Linked DNA regions of Caenorhabditis elegans. The protein of the gene in region 1 purifies or fractionates together with the protein of each later gene. This does not show direct contact. Each region holds a gene or a part of one and is shown in the gene's direction. Other genes may lie near its edges.

The links.
Region 2: the proteins of C12D5.9 (region 1) and rege-1 fractionate together in Caenorhabditis elegans (co-fractionation; one large-scale study listed by BioGRID). This does not show direct contact.

What each region holds. Positions count from the first base shown.
Region 1 is NC_003283.11:7,686,237-7,693,399, reverse strand, and holds C12D5.9 (T20D4.11-like domain-containing protein), read left to right. Parts: upstream 1-3,411; 5' UTR 3,412-3,423; coding exon 3,424-3,660; intron 3,661-3,708; coding exon 3,709-3,882; intron 3,883-4,139; coding exon 4,140-4,457; intron 4,458-4,732; coding exon 4,733-5,044; 3' UTR 5,045-5,207; downstream 5,208-7,163. Other genes in the region: C12D5.10 (T20D4.11-like domain-containing protein), read left to right, coding at 1-133, 186-359, 583-939, 989-1,309; nhr-152 (Nuclear Hormone Receptor family), read right to left, coding at 5,241-5,503, 5,590-5,696, 5,743-5,949, 5,997-6,082, 6,141-6,421, 6,510-6,675, 6,853-6,894.
Region 2 is NC_003279.8:6,953,835-6,965,024, reverse strand, and holds rege-1 (Endoribonuclease rege-1), read left to right. Parts: upstream 1-3,885; coding exon 3,886-4,136; intron 4,137-4,884; coding exon 4,885-4,949; intron 4,950-5,041; coding exon 5,042-5,166; intron 5,167-5,379; coding exon 5,380-5,651; intron 5,652-6,492; coding exon 6,493-6,597; intron 6,598-6,761; coding exon 6,762-6,848; intron 6,849-7,281; coding exon 7,282-7,458; intron 7,459-8,326; coding exon 8,327-8,553; intron 8,554-9,094; coding exon 9,095-9,340; intron 9,341-9,903; coding exon 9,904-10,087; intron 10,088-10,186; coding exon 10,187-10,352; 3' UTR 10,353-10,611; downstream 10,612-11,190. Other genes in the region: T10B11.8 (BACK domain-containing protein), read left to right, coding at 10,872-10,890, 11,094-11,190. UniProt on the Caenorhabditis elegans protein: Endonuclease which binds to the 3'UTR of target mRNAs and induces degradation of the transcript.

The sequences.
Region 1 (7,163 bases):
AGACATTCAATCAGTTCAACAAAATTGTGAACCATTTGCAAATGAACTCAATTCATATAATGACGACTACGATGGAAAAATTCTACCAGATGATATTATTGGAAATATGACGGATTTGTGTAGCAGTGTAATTGTAATAATTGAATTTGTCCGATGGTTTTCCGATTTTAACTGTATATTTCCAGAAGTGTTATGGAGAGTATGAGTGCCAAGAATCTGCGAATTATAAAAAGAAATTTGAGCGGGAATGCGCCGAAATGAAAATTTCGAATGCCAGAGTTAAGGAGTGCATGCTAGAAATTTATGGCGCAATTTTCGAGGACACATACAACTGTACAAAGAACTTTGACTGGTTAGCAGTGAGTTTTTGAAAGTTTTGTTTAGATGGAACGAATTTAAATTCACAAACGATAAAACAATTTACGGCTATTTTCAATTTTGAAATTGTCAAATTTTCCAGCACACATGTTCCGACATCTTCCGAGTTTTCTAGCATTGCTGAAATGTCGGTCGTCGATAAATTATGGATGATTTTCTACCGAAATTACTTGCATTTTGGATTTTGAATTTGATAATTTTCAGAAAGATCCTGTAACCAAGCGAAATGCGTATCTTTCTGGAAAGGATTGTTTTATGGAAATTGTAACCAATGATTGTTCTAACAGTTCAGTTATGTATTTCTCTTCTCAATATGAACACTTTGTGGATCTAATCTCAATTAAACCTGATGGAGAACCTTGTGTTGGTCTGTACTATGAGCTAAACGAGCTTCGCTGCAATGAGCCAGTTTCTCAATTTTCTTTACAATTTGTTACTCTTTTTGCAAAACTTATGCCACCAATGGTGATGAATCAATCCGAAAGCGACGAAGCAAATGAATTTACGAATTTGCTGAAGCATGATGATTCAGACACCTCAAAGATTTGCATGTATGTACAGGTGCATTGTTTAAAACTTTTTGTAATCTAAACTCTAAAAACTTCTTCAGGACTGTCTGGTAGATTCCTGTACATTCTCCAAAAAGAAAGGGATCAGCGAATATTTAGACGTAGTCTGTGGCGAGTTGGAAAAAATGGACAATATAAATGAAAAATTTGTCGATTGCCTCGACTTTTTTCGAGACGATAATTCAACTTTAAGCAACTGTGTGAAAAATTACGAAACATCGAAAACTGTGGAAAATGCTCCAGTCGTATTGAAAAACTGCATTAAAAATGGAATCGAGGCTAAATGTGGAGCTGCTGCACTGGAGAATTTCGATAATAATTATGAATTTTATTTTACAAAAGGAATGTTGAAGAAACCTTGATCGTTATGAATCTTGGATGTAATTCCATTTTTTTGTTTAATGTGCAATTATGCCCCAGTTGACAGCTGATATGTACTTCCAGGAAGCACTTTTGTGCGGGAACCTGAATGATTTTCATTCAATCGACGTCTCTAAAAGAAAAACCACTCACAAGTAACATATCGTTTGAAATCTTTGATACAAAACATTGCAATAAGTGGCTCCAGCGACGGATATATTGCCACACTAGCTGCTGCAAGGCTCGCCAGTTTGCTAACATACACTTCGAAAAATGGCATGCTAAGCAACAAAAATTAAAAAAAAAAGGTCGTGTAAATTTAAAATGTGTCATCTAAAACAATAATTTGTGAAGACTTCTATGAATTTGATTTTAAAAAATTTGTTTTGGAAGATCACTATATATGTGGAGCACACTAAATACATCACGTTAAATAAACTACCGTTTACCTGAAATATTAGAGTTCTGAAAAACTGGCGATTCAATTCCATTGTCTTTGCACTCATATGAACTTGATTTTTCTTCAACGATGAATATAGGTTTGTTGCACAAAATATAATTGTTGAAAAGCAAATAATCTGAAAAAGAACAAATGTTTAACAAAGCTTTAATTCAATTGGTATTATTTACTTTTAGTATATTACAACTTACAATAATCACCGCACATCCAAGTGCGCATGTTGGTTTTGTGGTCAACGCACACAATTTCCAAAATGTTCCAAATTTTCTCCCCATTTTCCCCAATCGACCAGTACATTGGAGCAATAAAAGAGATCTTGGTAGAATCTTCATCATAACAAGCTCTCAGTTCTTCTCTATAAGTTATTAACTTTTATAAACAAACATATTTAAATGCTTACTCAATATATTCCTGTTTCTCTACGGTGTTGGCCATTCCAAAATAAACCAACAAATTCCATGCAAAGAAACAAATAAAACACGGAATAAATATCAGACTCAGTTTGAAACCTTCAATGCTAGGTAATGCGTCCGGCCTAATATATAGAAAACTCATTTTTATAAGAATATTTCAAAATACCTGCATATCGCGATATATATGTAGAAAAACTGAGCTGCGAGGAGAGATATTACAAGAGCATATGAACCGCAAAAAAGGCCTGGATAATTCGAAATGAGAAGTTTTGATATCTTTTCAAACGGTAATACTTTGTTTTCAGCTTTAAAGTTATATCAATTAACCTACATGTAATATTGTTTCCAATCCATTTATGATATTTCAAAGGGCTATCCATGTAGACAATAAATACTAGGCCTTTTATATGGATTACCTAAAGTTCTTTTATTAATTTTATTCCACAACCGGATGTGTTATTATTTCAATCCAGGCATACATCAACGAGTTTAAAGCAAATGTTGTCATAACATAACGATATGCTCCAAAGTGTTTTCCAGATTTTTTAACGAGCAAGTAAACAAAAAATGAGTTTGTGATCTGGGCGGCAAAAAATCCAATGTACTGAATTGTATGCAGCGGGCATTTTTTGTGTCTTTAAAATCAAAGGTTTTCTGTTTCTAGTTGGATAAAGACTATACTAGAGCAGGAAATGTAGGTGCTACCGGACTTTTGAATGAAACATGCTTCATTCAAAAGACAGTGTTGATAAATGGATAGATATGAATTTTGAGCTGCGAAATTTCAGAAGTGAGCTATCTGAGAGCTCAGAGAAGCTCGATTGCAAATGCCTTTCACTTTCGTAATTTCATAAAACGTTTGGGAGAGCTCTGAAAAGAACCCATTTTTTCCAGAAATCTGATATTTTGTTAAACAAAAGAATGAATTTTGCTTTTGAAGCACTTTAAAAGATCAGTTCTGAGCTTAAAATTCATACTTAACCATTTCTCAGTGTGCGCTTTCAAATGGAACATGCCTCGTTTACATGTCCAGTGGCACCTTCTCTAGTTAGATTCTTTTATTTGATAAAAAGTACTTTTCGTTCAAAAATTTATGACTCAGTACAGTTCATCATACAGTTTATATACTGCTTATAATACAAAGAACAACGTTTTTTCGATACCTATTAAATTTGGATTAAAATCGATTATTGCGACTAACTATAAATAAATCACATTTCATTCATTTTTTGCTCCCACTAAAATGCGGAAACCAACTCTTTTGGTATGTCTAGTAATGTCATATTTCAACTTTGTTGATTCTAAATCCAACCTATTGAATTCTCCCCTCAGAGTTTGTACACCAAAAGAGCAATTTGTGCTAGAAGGAAAATGCCTACGGTATGTGAACGATTTGATGTATCTAACAGAGGAATATCCACCAACTCAAATTACTGTGCCAATTGCCAAGAACATGAGTAGCGCATGTGAAAAAATTACTGTATGCTTTTGTTACTAAGACTTTTACACATTATCGTAACGATTTCAGAGTTGTTTTGCGGAAATTGAATGTGATGAAGCTCAGAGAAGCAAGGAAGTTTATGAGAGAAAATGCGAAAAAATAGAGTTCAATAACTACAAGATGCAAGAATGTATCCCAAAGTTTTATGAGACGGTCTATAACAAGTCACGCCATTGCACAGTCGAATTTGACTTTTTCTCGGTAATCATTATATATTGATAAGAAGTAGGGTTGTTATGAGGGGCCAAATTATTAGGACACTCCAGGAACTAATGTTCGAAACCTGATAGAAATATGAAATAATTAATAGTAGGAAAAAGTAGTATTTCCCTACTTGTATTTTCCGGATGCGTGACTACTCCATAATAACAATTTGTATGCCTTTTTTTATTTTTGTTTTCAAATGAATTTTGAAAGGATTGGCATTTATCAGATTAGCATAATGCGTCAACTTTTAGACGGATTTGAAAACTCGACGTGATGCATATATTAATGGAAAATCGTGTGTTGTGAGTATCGCCAACGAAAGAAGGTGTGATGAGAAAGCACTGGAATATTTGAACTCAAGTTATGACAAGTTTGTGGATATTATGAGCATCAAACCAGACGAGAAAAAATGTTCTTCATTACACGATGAAATGATATCAAAACAATGCCAACCTGTGCTCTTGAAATTGGGAAATGGTGTAGTTGGATCACTTGATAAGCTTATCAAAAATGCAAATGAGACGAAGCCTGCTGTTGAAAACAGACCGGATGTTTGTGATGAGTTGCAGGTAATTTTTGACTTATCTGATAGTGAATATTTTATCTTATATTCAAAGTATACCAGATTATTATGTTGTCATTGTCGTTTAACCAGATGAACTTTAACAGTATGAACTTTTATAGGTACGAGGTAGGCATAGGTAACACTTTTGTATGTGTGATTTTATAAAATCAAGAATTTGTTTTGGTATTCGAAATTTGTTTGGAATATCATAATAATTTTTAATTGAGTTTCTGAAGAAGCTTGTTGTTATTGTGCCTGAAGTTGAAAAAAACATTTCAGAATTGTCTTCAAAAAAGTTGTTTTTACACCCAGCATAACCAGACAAATGCCAATGCATACAAAGAAGGTTGTGAAAAGCTAACTCTTGTACCGTTCTCACTTTGCAAATTCCAAGTCATGATTAGTCCCACTTCGACAAGTTATAAGTGCGTCATCGACAGTTTACTTAATCCAAGTTCAACAATGCCTCGCAACAGTTTCTTGGAAGACAAGGAATGTATGAGAACTATGATGGGAGGAATATGTGGAGCTGCAATTTTGGAAAATTTTGACCGCGATTGGGAAGCATCTAAAACTGCGGATTTGTTTTGATAATAAAGTCCTGTCAATTGCCCATTTTTTTAATACTAAAAATCTAGAAAAAATTAAATTTGATTGTTTTCTAATTTTTTTCAAAAGCTTAAATAATCCCGCATAATGAATTCTCACATGTTTATCGGTTATGGATGAAATTAAAGTTCAATTGAATGTTTCATTAGATCTTTCTCAAAATTGCAATTCGAAAATCTTAACTAAAAATCATTTCATACATCAAACTCCTGCTGAATTCTTTTGGAAGAATTGACAACATTGGAGCAAGGAGACAAACATGAAGATCTTTCAGTAGTTTCTGCTGCTTTTCCAGAGTAGCAATAACTCCAATCAGATCTACATATCGAGTTGGGCCGCTGGAATTCAAACTTTGAAGACAGTAAACCAGCAACATTTCAGAGTAAAAACTTCGACCTTTTTCTAGTTTGTATTGAGCGTTGCTTGACAGATTGGGAATCGCTGAAAACTTGACAAAAAGTTTTTCTTTAATTTCTGACGTGAACTTCGATGTTTGGGGGTCAGGTCTCACTTGAAAATATTCTTACCTGGATTACAGATGAATATCATTTTGAGCAATAAGTATTCAATGTAGTGAACTCCAACTCTCATCAGAGCATAAAACACCATTGCAAATGTAGAATACTGGGGTTCACTTGAATTTTAATTGATTTTAATTATTTGCCAAAATTTGAACCTACGATTTTTTGGGTCGTTGAGTGCCATCCGGTTGGCGAAGATCTTCATATTTATTTTTCAATGTGTAATATGCAGAATGTAAATTTGAACAACCAACTACAACATGCCTCATCAAGATCAACTGGTCCTTTGTGTCAAGTTTTAGAAAAAATGGGAAGGTTTTCAAGAATTCGATTGATGTGAGCAAATTGAAAAATCTCCACTGTTTTCTGGAAAACTGCCTTTATTGACAAATTTCATATTTTTTAAATCGTACCTATGAGGTGAATAAGTTTTGAAATTATAATCCAAATTTGAGCTAGCAAAAATATGATTTGGGTGGTAAGGCCATCCAGGGAAAGGCTGAAAATCGGGGAAAAACTTCAAAATTATACTTGTTCACTGAATCTAACACAGTTACCCCAAATTTATTAGAAAGGCTCAGTTTGCTGGAGCAACGTAACAAATCTTCCAGTCCTCCAATTTCGGTCCAATTTGGGTTATAAGCCGATAGTCTGAATTGCTCAAGTTTGCAATCCAAATAGGTTAGCTCGTTAATCACATCTTTAATTTTCTCTTCTTTGGAGTTTTTTAAGCTTTGAGTCAAGTTTTTAGTTGTTCGAAAATTTAAAGCATTTGGGTTCATTCCAACTAAAAGACATTTTTTGAAGCGGCAAGCTCGACAACGAAGAAGTGGTTCAGCTGAAAATTGTAATTACGGATTGAGAATTTAATGAGAAATACAGAAAAGTATTTTCCGGTAAATTAAAATTTAAAAATTCAAACTAACTTCTCTTGTCTAAATCAAAACAGTCACTATTTATATAGCACCGTAGCTCAGATTTCAATAAATACATCCGACGGAAAAACGTTTTGCAGCCCTTACAAGTTGCCACGTCACAATGATGACCATGTGCCGGCCGATTACATATTTTACAGTTGAAGGGTGAAGGGAACTGAAATTATGAGCATTTTAAAATTATTGTAATAATCGGAGACAAACGAAAAAATTTTCAAGCATGTTATGAACGTCTTTAACTTTGACTTTAATGTTGGGAAATTATTTCTTAATATTATGTCTGAATGCCTGAACAAAAAACACGTTTTCACTTATCGGAAAAAAAACAACTTACTTTTAAAATAGAATTATTAGCAACCTGATGTAAAAAATCCATTGTACTGAAGAATACTACAATTTGCCAACTTAACTAAAAAATCATCTAGACGATCTAAGATGTTATCTAATTAATAGTGCATTACGTTCTACAACCGGCCATATGCCATATTTTGACCTTCATTGATCTGTGATGTCGTCGATGTCTCATTGGTAGAAACACATGTTTCTGAATTGCAGTGGAGCGCAGTTGTTGATTACCTTGTTGAACAGTCATTTGCGAAAACTTCCTAATCACTACCTCATCAGACATTCCATGAGTTGTTGAAT
Region 2 (11,190 bases), on another chromosome or scaffold:
ACCAATTATTTTCAAAAAATAATGTGAATAAGCTAACCAGGAAATGAGCAATTGTACCTTTTTTGTTGACATATTAATGTTTCCGTTGTACTTCTTTGTGGAGCTCATCAAATTCAATGTCCCCGAAACCAATTAAGTGTTGCTTCTTCTAAAAAAAAGTACGAGGCGTTTCATAAGGGTTTCATTATCTATTACGGTTGCAAGACTAATTTCCAACTAGTCTGTATTTATGGGTGCAAAATTATTAGAGGAAATACAATAGTTTTCCCCACTACCATTTTGTGTATTAGTTCCTTAAACGTCCTAATTCTCCGAAACTTCTGCAAACTCCTGTATGGTTTAATGAGTTTATTTTCTCCAAAAATTCTTCACTTTCACTATCAATTTCCCTCAAATTTGCCTCCACCGCATGACCTCTTCAACATCAAAATTATTATCACCGAATTTTTCTTCATTCGATAAGAATCGAGAGCCATCTTGAAATAGTGTGAACAATCAGGAGACATTAGAGAACAATACAAATGGCGTGAGAAGGGTGAGATGAATCCGGAACTGTCTTGTTTTCTTTAACTCTCCACCCTTTTAAGAGTCTTTATCAACTGATAATTTGAAGGGGACTTCCTGGAGTTTCTGGATTGATCAGAAAAATCACATTTTTCATGATTTTTATTGGAGTTTTCAGAGTCTTTTCTTGATTTATCTCTAGTATTCATTTTCATTTCTACAAATAACTGGCTACAAGTGCTACACTAGACTCAAGTAATTTCATATAGACAGTTGCATGAACATATTGATAATTAATGACTTATCAACTAGAAAACTAGAGGCTACTGTCACGAACATACAAAATAAGTCAACAAAACAAAACATTTAAATAAAGCAGTGACTTATTATTCTGCAGGTTACTGTACTCCGGAGTGAGTCACCAAAATGGGTTTGTTTTGTTCTAGAACATCCCACGTGTGCAATGTTTTTGAACTGTTCTAGATTGATCATATTAGATCAAAAATCATCATTTCCAATTAAAAACGAAAAACCTTAAATGATTGTGTTTTCTTGCCAGTTTTTGATGGAAGCTTGAAACAAAGGTCAATGTTAGGCATTCTCAGATTCCTGGGAATGGCAGAGTCGATTTTCAGACTGAATAAATTTTGGCCGTTTTTTTCGAAGGATAAGACCAATTTTCTGTCGACTCAAAAACGGGGTGAAGCAGTGCATATTACACCCAATTTATATTTAAAAAATCTTAAAAGTACAGGCTGCCAAAGAGTGTATAAATGAATTAGCGTGTGTAAGCGGTTTGTTTTAAAATGGAAAACGTACTCTAAAATCGGAAATACTAGAAAAAAAAAGTTTTTTAAAGCGAATCGCGGATTGGACTTGCAGTTCTCATCATTCTTTTGTTGTATTTCAGAATTTTTTGCCCAGTTTTCCGAACTCGGCAAATTTTGAGATTGCCGCACACCCTTGGCCGAAAGCTCGAACATCAGTTGATTATTTCAGATGAAATTAAATTTCTTATCAATTCCGAACCACCTCTTATTCAAATAATACACAAATTATCTGCTGTCTTCTCATGATATCTAATTATTTCCGGTATCTTTCTTTATTTAAATAATAAAAAAGGACGCGGAACGTACTGTGCTTTCCTTGTTTACAGCACAATCACTCCCGGTTCAGACCTTTATCATGTTATCAATTTTTCCCCATTTTTTTGCTCTTTTTCATTGCCGTGTGCTGCTTTTCGTCATCATTACGTCTGATTCATTCATCATTCTTTGAAAATTCATTGAAATTTTATCGGTTTTTTTGCTCCGCAATCGGTGGAATTTTGGATGATTTCTTTTCTGTAAAAATCTTAATAGTTTATATACCATATTGTATATTAATTGTATATAGTTTGAGGTTGGATCTTCCGTAGGTTTCCCATTTGCTCATGCTCAATTCATTTCCGTTTTTTTTTGGTTGATAACCAGTCCATTTTCTCGCATTTCTCGGCTTCTGTTGCGCAATAGAACGGAGAGAGGAATAGAGAAAGATCAAAGAAAATAGGAAAAAAAACATGAAGGGAAGTGTTAGCTATGCGATTGTACAAAAGACCATTCTATTCATTCATATTCACTAGTTTCTCATTTTTCTAGTGTAGTTTAGGCAATCCCTTCTGAAATTATAAGCACACTCCGTATCGTTTGTATTGTCTAATTGGAAATGCATTTTAAAGGTGTAAGATTTAGAATGATGAGAACACGTTAAACACAAATATCATGTTTATTTTAAGATCCAGATTATCTGAAATTGTCTGACATAGATTTAAAAAAGCATATATTTATTTTCATTTTCAACGTGAAAGTTTAGTCTCTAATTTTGAGATTCGGAAAAGCTGCACAAAACTTTCACGTTAAAAAATTAAAATTTAGTTGAACAACTTCCAAAATCCTATTTTATTATCACTTATGAGTGTTTTAACTGCCGCTATTTCATTTTTAAAACTCACTAGCAGTCAGTTGGATATGCTAAAAATTTGCAGAATAAATTATCAAACTGTTGGAAGTGATTAAAAATTTCAATTTTTGATAATTCAAGAAACATTTTGGCTTTGAAAATTTTAGACCTTTAATTCTAAATAATATTATTTATTCGCATTTTACTGATAATGTTGGAAAAAAGTTCAAAAAGCTTTGGAATTATAAGTGATATTTTTGATATGTTTTGTGTGTGCTGAAATGTTACCCGACTTAAACATTTGGTTTTTCAGATCTTTTTTAAGAATAAGTTCACCGCGAACTTTCTGGAATGCCTTGTGAAAAAAATATTCAGCCTGATGTCTAAACATTTTTTTCAATTTGGCATGAGCAAAAAACACGAATTGTTTAAATCAAAAATGGAAGTCATTAAACTTTTCCTCTGTTTCATGAAAAAAATCACAAAATTAATCTACGGAATCTAATTATCACAAACAATTTCCCTGATCAAAGAAATAACCTCATGTTTTTTTCCATAAGAAAACAAACAATTTCCTTCATTTTTTCTTTAATACTTCTCTCTTCTCCACCCCCGGATTTATTCCCTCTTTTCACAATTTGTATTCAACTGATATATCTAATATATATCTCTAATATTTCTCTCCTTCTTATTTTCTTTCTAGATAATCCCTTTTTTGAGTCTTTTTCAGATTGTTGATAATCCCTCCTCCTTCTATTTTGTTTTTCATTTATTGGTGTTTGTTCAAGATTTCCAATAAAAATAAATTTAGTTTAGGCTCGAAATTTTAAATAAGAGCTAAATATTTGAATCCAGAAATCAATTTTTCCGAATCAAAGTCCGAATTCGAGGAATTTTATCCAATATAAACTTTGTCCTGTGTCTTCTTCTTCTATCATTTTTGTGTCTTTTCCATTTTCTCTCGATTGCATTTTCAGACGGAACTCTACCATCATTTTCAACTGAAAAAGCTATAATCTTCTTATTTTGTGTTGACTTCTAAAAGGTTTTCCGTTTTAAAGTTCTAATGATAGGATGGGGACAAAAGACACAATTTAAAAGAATCTAAATTTTTCCAATGTTTTCCAGAGTATTGAGGAAGAGTTTTAGGGAATTTCTCAACAGGTGTGCTGAAAAAACTTAATTGGGACAATTCGCCAGTTTGGTTCACCAAAAAAAATTCCACGCACTTTTTTGATGAAAAAATTCACAACAATTGAGAAAGTTCAATACAAAAGGTACCTACTATTTCATATGAGCAGTGAAAAAAGTATAAGCCATCTATTTCGCCATCGTATTTCGAGCTAGTCAAATTCCTTGCTCTTATTGTTTTTACTCTCACTTACTTTTTCATTTCTCTTTCTCTCTCTCTCTCCCCCTCCGCCCAAACCACAAAATTTCAAGATGGATTCAACGGCTCGTGGCCACGCCCCTTTGTGTCGAACCAGCAACCAAAGAGGACTTGGAACACGTCTCAATCCATATTATCAATCAACTCCACATCAACCAATGGTACAATCAATGTCAAATCCAATTGGCTCCTACGGAGAACAAGGAAATGCTCAAATTATTGGAAGTTCTGGGCAGGTGCTTTCAACTGGACCACCGCCAGGATTGGCTCCAGTTCAATGCAATGATTTTGACTCTTGTTACAGGTTTGTTATGTTTTCAGATAAAGTGCAGAGAGAAAAAAATTTCAAAAAATTAATTTAGTCTGAAATTATTCAGTTGAAATCATGGGGAGAGATGGCTTGTTCTCGACAAATCTACGGAATTACATTTTAAGAAATGGTAATTCAAAATTAGTAAAAATACATATAAATATTCAACTGATTTGCAAATAATTTATACCTTCGAAGTTTTTGAAAAGGTTTTTAATTATGCTCTTGTTTTGGATGTTAAAATTCAATGACAAATTTATTTGGCCATCGTAAAAAATTTTTTCGCAGAGTTCCTGCAAAAAAGCTTCGAGAAGTTGAACCTTGCATTTCTGTTTGTAAATCGTCACCCACATGCACTTCCGTTAAAAATAATTTTCAGTACAAATGATGGCAAATTAAATTAAGAGTATAAGGAAAAAATATGATAAAACCTCTGTAAATGACTGAAAATAACTATCCCGGAAACAGACAACGTGCATTTCTTTCGCATATTTTTCATATTTTTTCTTTTTTTCCATCAGCCGGAAATTTTGTTCTCATTTTTCTGTAGGTCTTCTTTTTTCAATCCTTGGAGGTTTTTTTTGCAGTTTAATTTGTTTTCAGAGAAATAACTTTTGAGCTTTCTAGTCACTTTTTATGAGTTTGGATTGAGTTTGGATGCACATAAATATTTATAACATTAAACATTTCAGCAATCTCAAAAAAGTTTCAATTCAAATTTTTTACCATTGTTTTTTTGCAGTTCTTGCGACGATATATCCCATCCATCACTGAGTCGCGAATCATCGGATCCAAGCAAAATTGATGGTTAGTAGGAAACAATTATTTTAGATAATTTCAAAGATCCCTGATTTTTATTTAATATTTTCAACAAAATTATATTTGCTCTTAAATCTCAGATGACCAAACAGCGCCAATGATAAGATATCCAGCACCGGAAGTTGTTGAATTCGCCACGAAATTGGGATATTCGACAGAGCAACTAAGTCACGTATTGAATACAATTGGTGTTGATTCTAGAATGGTTCGTGTTTATTACTTCAGAAAAATATTTAAATTAGAACATGTTTGTGACTTTAAAAACACTATACGACAATTTAAGGAAAATAGTTTTCAGATTTTCTAGTAAATTGCGAAAAGTTGGAAATGTCTCACCAAAAATCAAAAATAACAGTATTCAATTGAAATTTCATAAATTTGATTCGAATATTGTCAAACAAAACTAAAAAAATTTCAGGACGACGTGCTCTCAGAACTTGTAAAAATGGGTCTTCCTGGTGGTAAACCAGAAAATTCTGGAAAATCTGGAAGTAGAAATTCTCCTGAACCAATCATGACTTCCTCTGCATCGTCTTCTTCTGCCTCATCATCGTCAAGTCATCGTCCTATTAGACAATCAGTATCAATTGCCACGTCATCACCTGCCACGTCATCATCCACACCATCCAAATACAACCCGGATCCAAGTTTGAGAGCTGTGGTTGTTGATGGATCAAATGTTGCAATGTTGTAAGTTGACGCAAAACAAATGGTAGAAAAATACATAGATAGAAACGGAGATTTTGAATAAGCAGTGGAGATATTCACGATATATTTTAAGTACAAAAGAACTAAAACATTCCAAAAAATAACTGACAATTACAATCTAATCATTACCAGAAAAATAAGAAGATTACGGTAGTTTCTGGTTTAACATAAAACAATGACAGACTACGTGTCTTCTTCTCATAACTAAGTGACCACAGACCTTGTCACCCGCCTACCGGAAGTATTTGTCTATGTTTCTCTCACATTCTCTCTTGTTTTTATAAACTCTCTCATCTTTTCTACAAAAATGAGCTCTGTTCCTGTGCCGTTTCTCCCACTGTGTCCGCCGCCGCTCCTGCTTCCGCGCCAAAATAGTCTGTTATTTTTGCCAACTTTCTTCTTGCCTTGCTCCGATCGTTTTTGGCTTCTATATGTCTCTCATAATCCTATGTGCTCTCTCACTTCTTATGAGCAAATATGAAAGTTTTGCGCCCTCTCTTTCTCCGGATTGACTGCTTTCCGCAGCGGATGCCCTGGGAAGAAACATAATGTCAATAGAGGGATAGAGAGAGGGAGACAGAGAGAAACGGAAAACGGCACCCTCTCTTGATCATCATGATTTATTCACCATTTTCCATGATTCTCAGAATTTTTCATGATTTTTCTGTTTTTTTGTTGTTGAAAAGTATATCTTATCTAGTTGTTAAAATGTTGGTTTTTACCATTAAAACAGTCTTTACTAAACTTTACAAAACAGTTCAAAACTTGTCGATCTAATTATTTTAATCTATTCTATTTACCCATTTGAAATAATCATTTTCAGACACGGCCGTAAAGAAGTCTTCTCGTGTGCAGGTCTCCGCGAGTGTCTCAATTATTTTCTGGAACGGGGACATCCGGAAGTTCTCATATTTATTCCCCAATACAGGTAAGTGTGAAAACGACACTTGAAATTTCTGTAATACAGTAGTCTACTGTAGTTTCCATAAAAATTTACGGTACGTGATTGTAAGTCATTTGGTTTTTAATGTTAATTTGACCATGGCTACGGAATTATTAAATGAATATAATTCTGAAAATATGAGTTTTCAGAAGAGAACAACCACGATCGGATAGCCCTATCACAGATCAACATATCCTACAGGAAATCGAACGACATATCATTTATACTCCTTCTAGGTGCGCCTTACGACATTTAAATACTTAGTGTATAATTTACACTCAAAAAAACTTGATCCAGAAACTGGCAAATCTGGAGTTAAACTTGGACAAAACTTGGTTTATGACAAACTCGAGTTGAGTCCAAATCCCAACTCTTGTCAATGACTTACCCTTGTTTAAAAAAAACATAGGAAAAGTTTGGATCGAGTCAAAAATAGTTGCAGCTTAAACCAAGTCTTCTCAAAATTGTCTCCCACATTTGCCAGAGCTTTTCCAGCTTCTGCACCAATTTAATTTTTTGGTCACATTTTTAGTTGTTTTACTTGAGAATATCATCGGTAAGAATTGGTCTGAGCTCAATTTGTGAACTTTACGTTAGCAATTTTCAATGTCTTGTTAAAAATTGAGTATCATAGTTTCCATATTAAATAGAATATGTAATAATTTTCAGAAACGTTAACGGTCGTCGAGTTGTCTGCCACGACGATAGATATATTCTCAGGACTGCTGAACTAAAAGACGCTGTAATTGTGTCAAACGACGAATATCGTGACTTGACACGTGAGAATCCTGCGTGGAGGAAGATTGTCGAGGAGAGACTTCTTATGTTCACTTTTGTTGAGGATAAGTCAGTTTTTTAAATTACTTTGAGATAATATTGTTTAATAGACAAATAAAATGCCATAAAATCTTATGTTAATTGACTATGTATTAGATATGGAATAGATTGAATGGGGGATTTGCTGTAAAATTAGCGGAACAATTCATAATTTTGAACCCAATCACCCAAAGTAAAACTGAATTTTCTCCAAAACGAGAACTGTAGTCTCAGGACCAATCAGCAAATATCTCCATCCACATTTGAATCAATCAGTGAAGTTCCACTTCGTACACTTTTATAAATTGGTTCAGAAGTGGGGATAAGCTGTTCACTGATTGGTCTTGCAATTCTTATTGTGGAGGGAATGCAAACATAGAGTATGAACTAGGAGAGAATCACGCTTCGAAAATTGCATGATTTCATTTTGTTGTAAAATATCTAAATGTGTGAACTATTTCAGGTTTTTTTTTGAAGTGCCATTCACTCTATTTCACATTTAAATGCCTACCTAATTATCGTACTAACCGATTCGCCGGAAAAAATAAATAAAAATTTTCGAGATCATGAAATCAACAAATAAACATTCTGCTAATTGAGGTGTTCATCCGTGTTGTTTTGAGGTGTTTCTTGTGTTTTCTATTCGTTCTCCTCTATTCAAATATTTGCACTTCGACCTGTTTTCCTGCACTTTTTCCTCTTTTTTTCCGAAAAGTCTGTGAACAAAAGAGCAAAGCTCTGATTGCACTTTTTCTCACTTTTGGAGACAAAAAACATCAAGACTTTTGTGTTTTTTTTTTAAGTTAGTTTATAGAATAATAAACTTTAGAAGCTAGGATTGTTCTAAAAAAATTCAATTTTTTTAAATATCGTCTTTCCTAATACTCAGTAAATTCAGATTTATGCCACCGGATGATCCATCAGGTCGTCATGGTCCGCGAATCGAAAGCTTCTTATCAAAAGTTCCTGTAGTTTCATCAAATCCTCTTGTGTGTCCATATGCAAGAAAATGTACATATGGGAATAAATGCAAATTTTATCATCCAGAAAGAGCAAATGGGCAACATATGAGTGTAACTGAGCGATTGATGAAAGAGAATCAACAGAAAAAATCATTGGGTGCAGGTATGTTTTGGTTGAATTAAACCCCACCCGTATAATTTTATATTTTTAATTTTAAAATTTTAAAATTTTAAAATTTGTTTTTCAAATTTGTCAGATTTCAAATTTTCAACCCTAATTTTTCTCCATTCTTTTTGGCTGTTTGTAACATTTTGTGCCAAAAACAGAGTACTTTAACAGCTCAAAAACCACTAGAAAATCGTTTTGAATTGATGATATGAAAACATTTTTTGACAGAAAATTTCATGAAAGTTTAGGTTTGCTTTAAAAAAAATTATATTTCCTAAAAGGGACTCAAAGTGCTTGTCAAATGTTGAAACCCTCAAAAACTCATTTTCGTGGCTAAAAAAATGTCGTTTAGGCAAATTCAGCGTAAAATAGAACTTGAATAATTTTTGATTGAATTCGGAGGTACAGACTTGAGTTTCGCCCCACAAATTGTTGTGGTCTCTGTTCAATTGATTGACTTGTTTTCCTTATTAAATTGATAAACACACACCTAAAACTGATCTTGTATATTCCTAAATTAAATTCAAAATTTCAGTAAAATCGATGCAATACGAAATGTTCAAGAACAAGCATGCAGCTTTATCACGTACTCAATCATTGAATGTTGTTAAACAACTCACAGAAAACATGTCCCAACTTCCTCCAACTCCTGAGAGCCCCATGCAAATGCCACGTCAGCATATGCAATTACAACAAGCAAATAGTGCTCCATGGCAACAACATACAGTTGTTCAAAGACATGGATCATCTCCATTAACACCCGTAAATCGGCAAATGAATGGTTAGTTTTATGATTTCAAAAAATTAAAGTGCATTTATTTTCTTACCAAAATTATAAAATTTATGTAATTAATTAATACACTTACACTTACTTTCAACTTGCAGTTTTTTCAAAAACCTATCTTCAAAAAAATATAGAATCATGTTTGAACAAAATCGTGCACTACCTAGTTTATATTACGAAACCATCAGTTCATGAGAATGCCTACTTTCTGGCGCGAAAATAGCGGCAAAGAGAGATTTAGGTGCCTTCGCTACGAGATATTCCCGCGCCAAAACGTCAGGCATTCTCATGATCTCATGGTTTCTTAATAGCAATTTTCCTTCCCAAAGATACGGTAGCCGGTCTTGAAATATTTTCAAATGAACGTTGCGCAATAAAATCTAGGTCTTTAATCAGTACAGCAACCCTATTCCCGCTGCTAAAAAACACATGAATATCTGGATAACATTTGTAAAATAACAGGGGATGAATTGCTGTACAAACACATCGCCACCACCGTTTGAAAAAATATTATTCGTGTCGAGACCAACTTTACAAAACCTAAACAATTATTATTTCAGTTTATCCAGATATGTATAACATGTCTCAACAACAAAATCATCAAGTCCTTCCTAACCAACACGGAGTAATTGGGGGTCAACGTCCGCCGAAAATGACAACTACAGTATCCCAGACACACCTTTTCGCACCTTCGACAGCTGTTTGGGGACACTCTGAATTATCCGTTGGACCTGTGAATACTGGGTTAGTTTTAAAACATTTAATTTTGGATATTTCGAAAAATCATTTTGAAAAACAATTACAATTTCCGGATTCAAAGCTTTATCGAAATTACATTTTCAGATCTGATGAAAGTCTAGCAGAAGTTCGTTCACGTGTACATTTTCATCTTTGCAACATATTTCCGCATGATTTCGTTGAATCTGTGATGGCAGCCAATCCAGAAGAAGTAAATGCTCCGGTGCTTTGTGAGCTCATTATCCGAGCTCAAAAAGAGTACCGAAAATGATTCAATCAATATTATTATTTATTACATATTCTCACCGAATAACCTGTTACCCAACCTTCCATCCCCGTTCCATACTCGGTTCATTTGATTTTTTAAGAGATTTATATTCTTAAAAAGCGTGTTCCAGTGTGAGTGATTGCCACGTAGAATCATTCTGATTCAAAGATTTTTATTTAATTAATTAATTCATCCATAAGTGACGAATTTGATAATGTTTGTATTTAAATTTTTGTAAAGAATGTAATGAACATTTGTATTTAAAGAATTGTGATTAATGATGCTTCATGAATTAAAACACACATAAAACATGTTTAATTAAAATTAAACAGACGCGGATTCGCCGAAAAATATTACCATAATCTGTTAAAGGCGCGTACATGAAAAATTTGTAGGGGTCTCGTCGAGAAAATAGTTTGGCGCAGCTTTAAATGCAAACTTTGTAAAACTGAATTCAGTTTCATTTTTCCCCTAAAATTTTTGGTAGTTTTACAATTAAAAATCAACTTCTATGGACTGAGCATGGAGAAATCAAATGAAAGTAAGTTCTTTTTAGAATATAAATTCGTTAAAATGTTTCCTATTCGTTTTTTCAAACGCGTTGCCTTTTTCGGAAAGCTAATTGTAAACACAGTTTTGAAAAATTTATGAGTAATTATATTTTTGAAACGAGAAATTATCGCGAAAATATTATCATATTCCGAAATTTTCTTCTAATTTTGATACCAATAAGACTTTCTAAAGTTTCAGATTTTTCCTCGGAAAAGGAAAAACGATCGTTAGTGCTCCGAGTTCTGAATGAAGCATCTTTGAGTAGTTTATCGATTTCTCATCAGAAAGC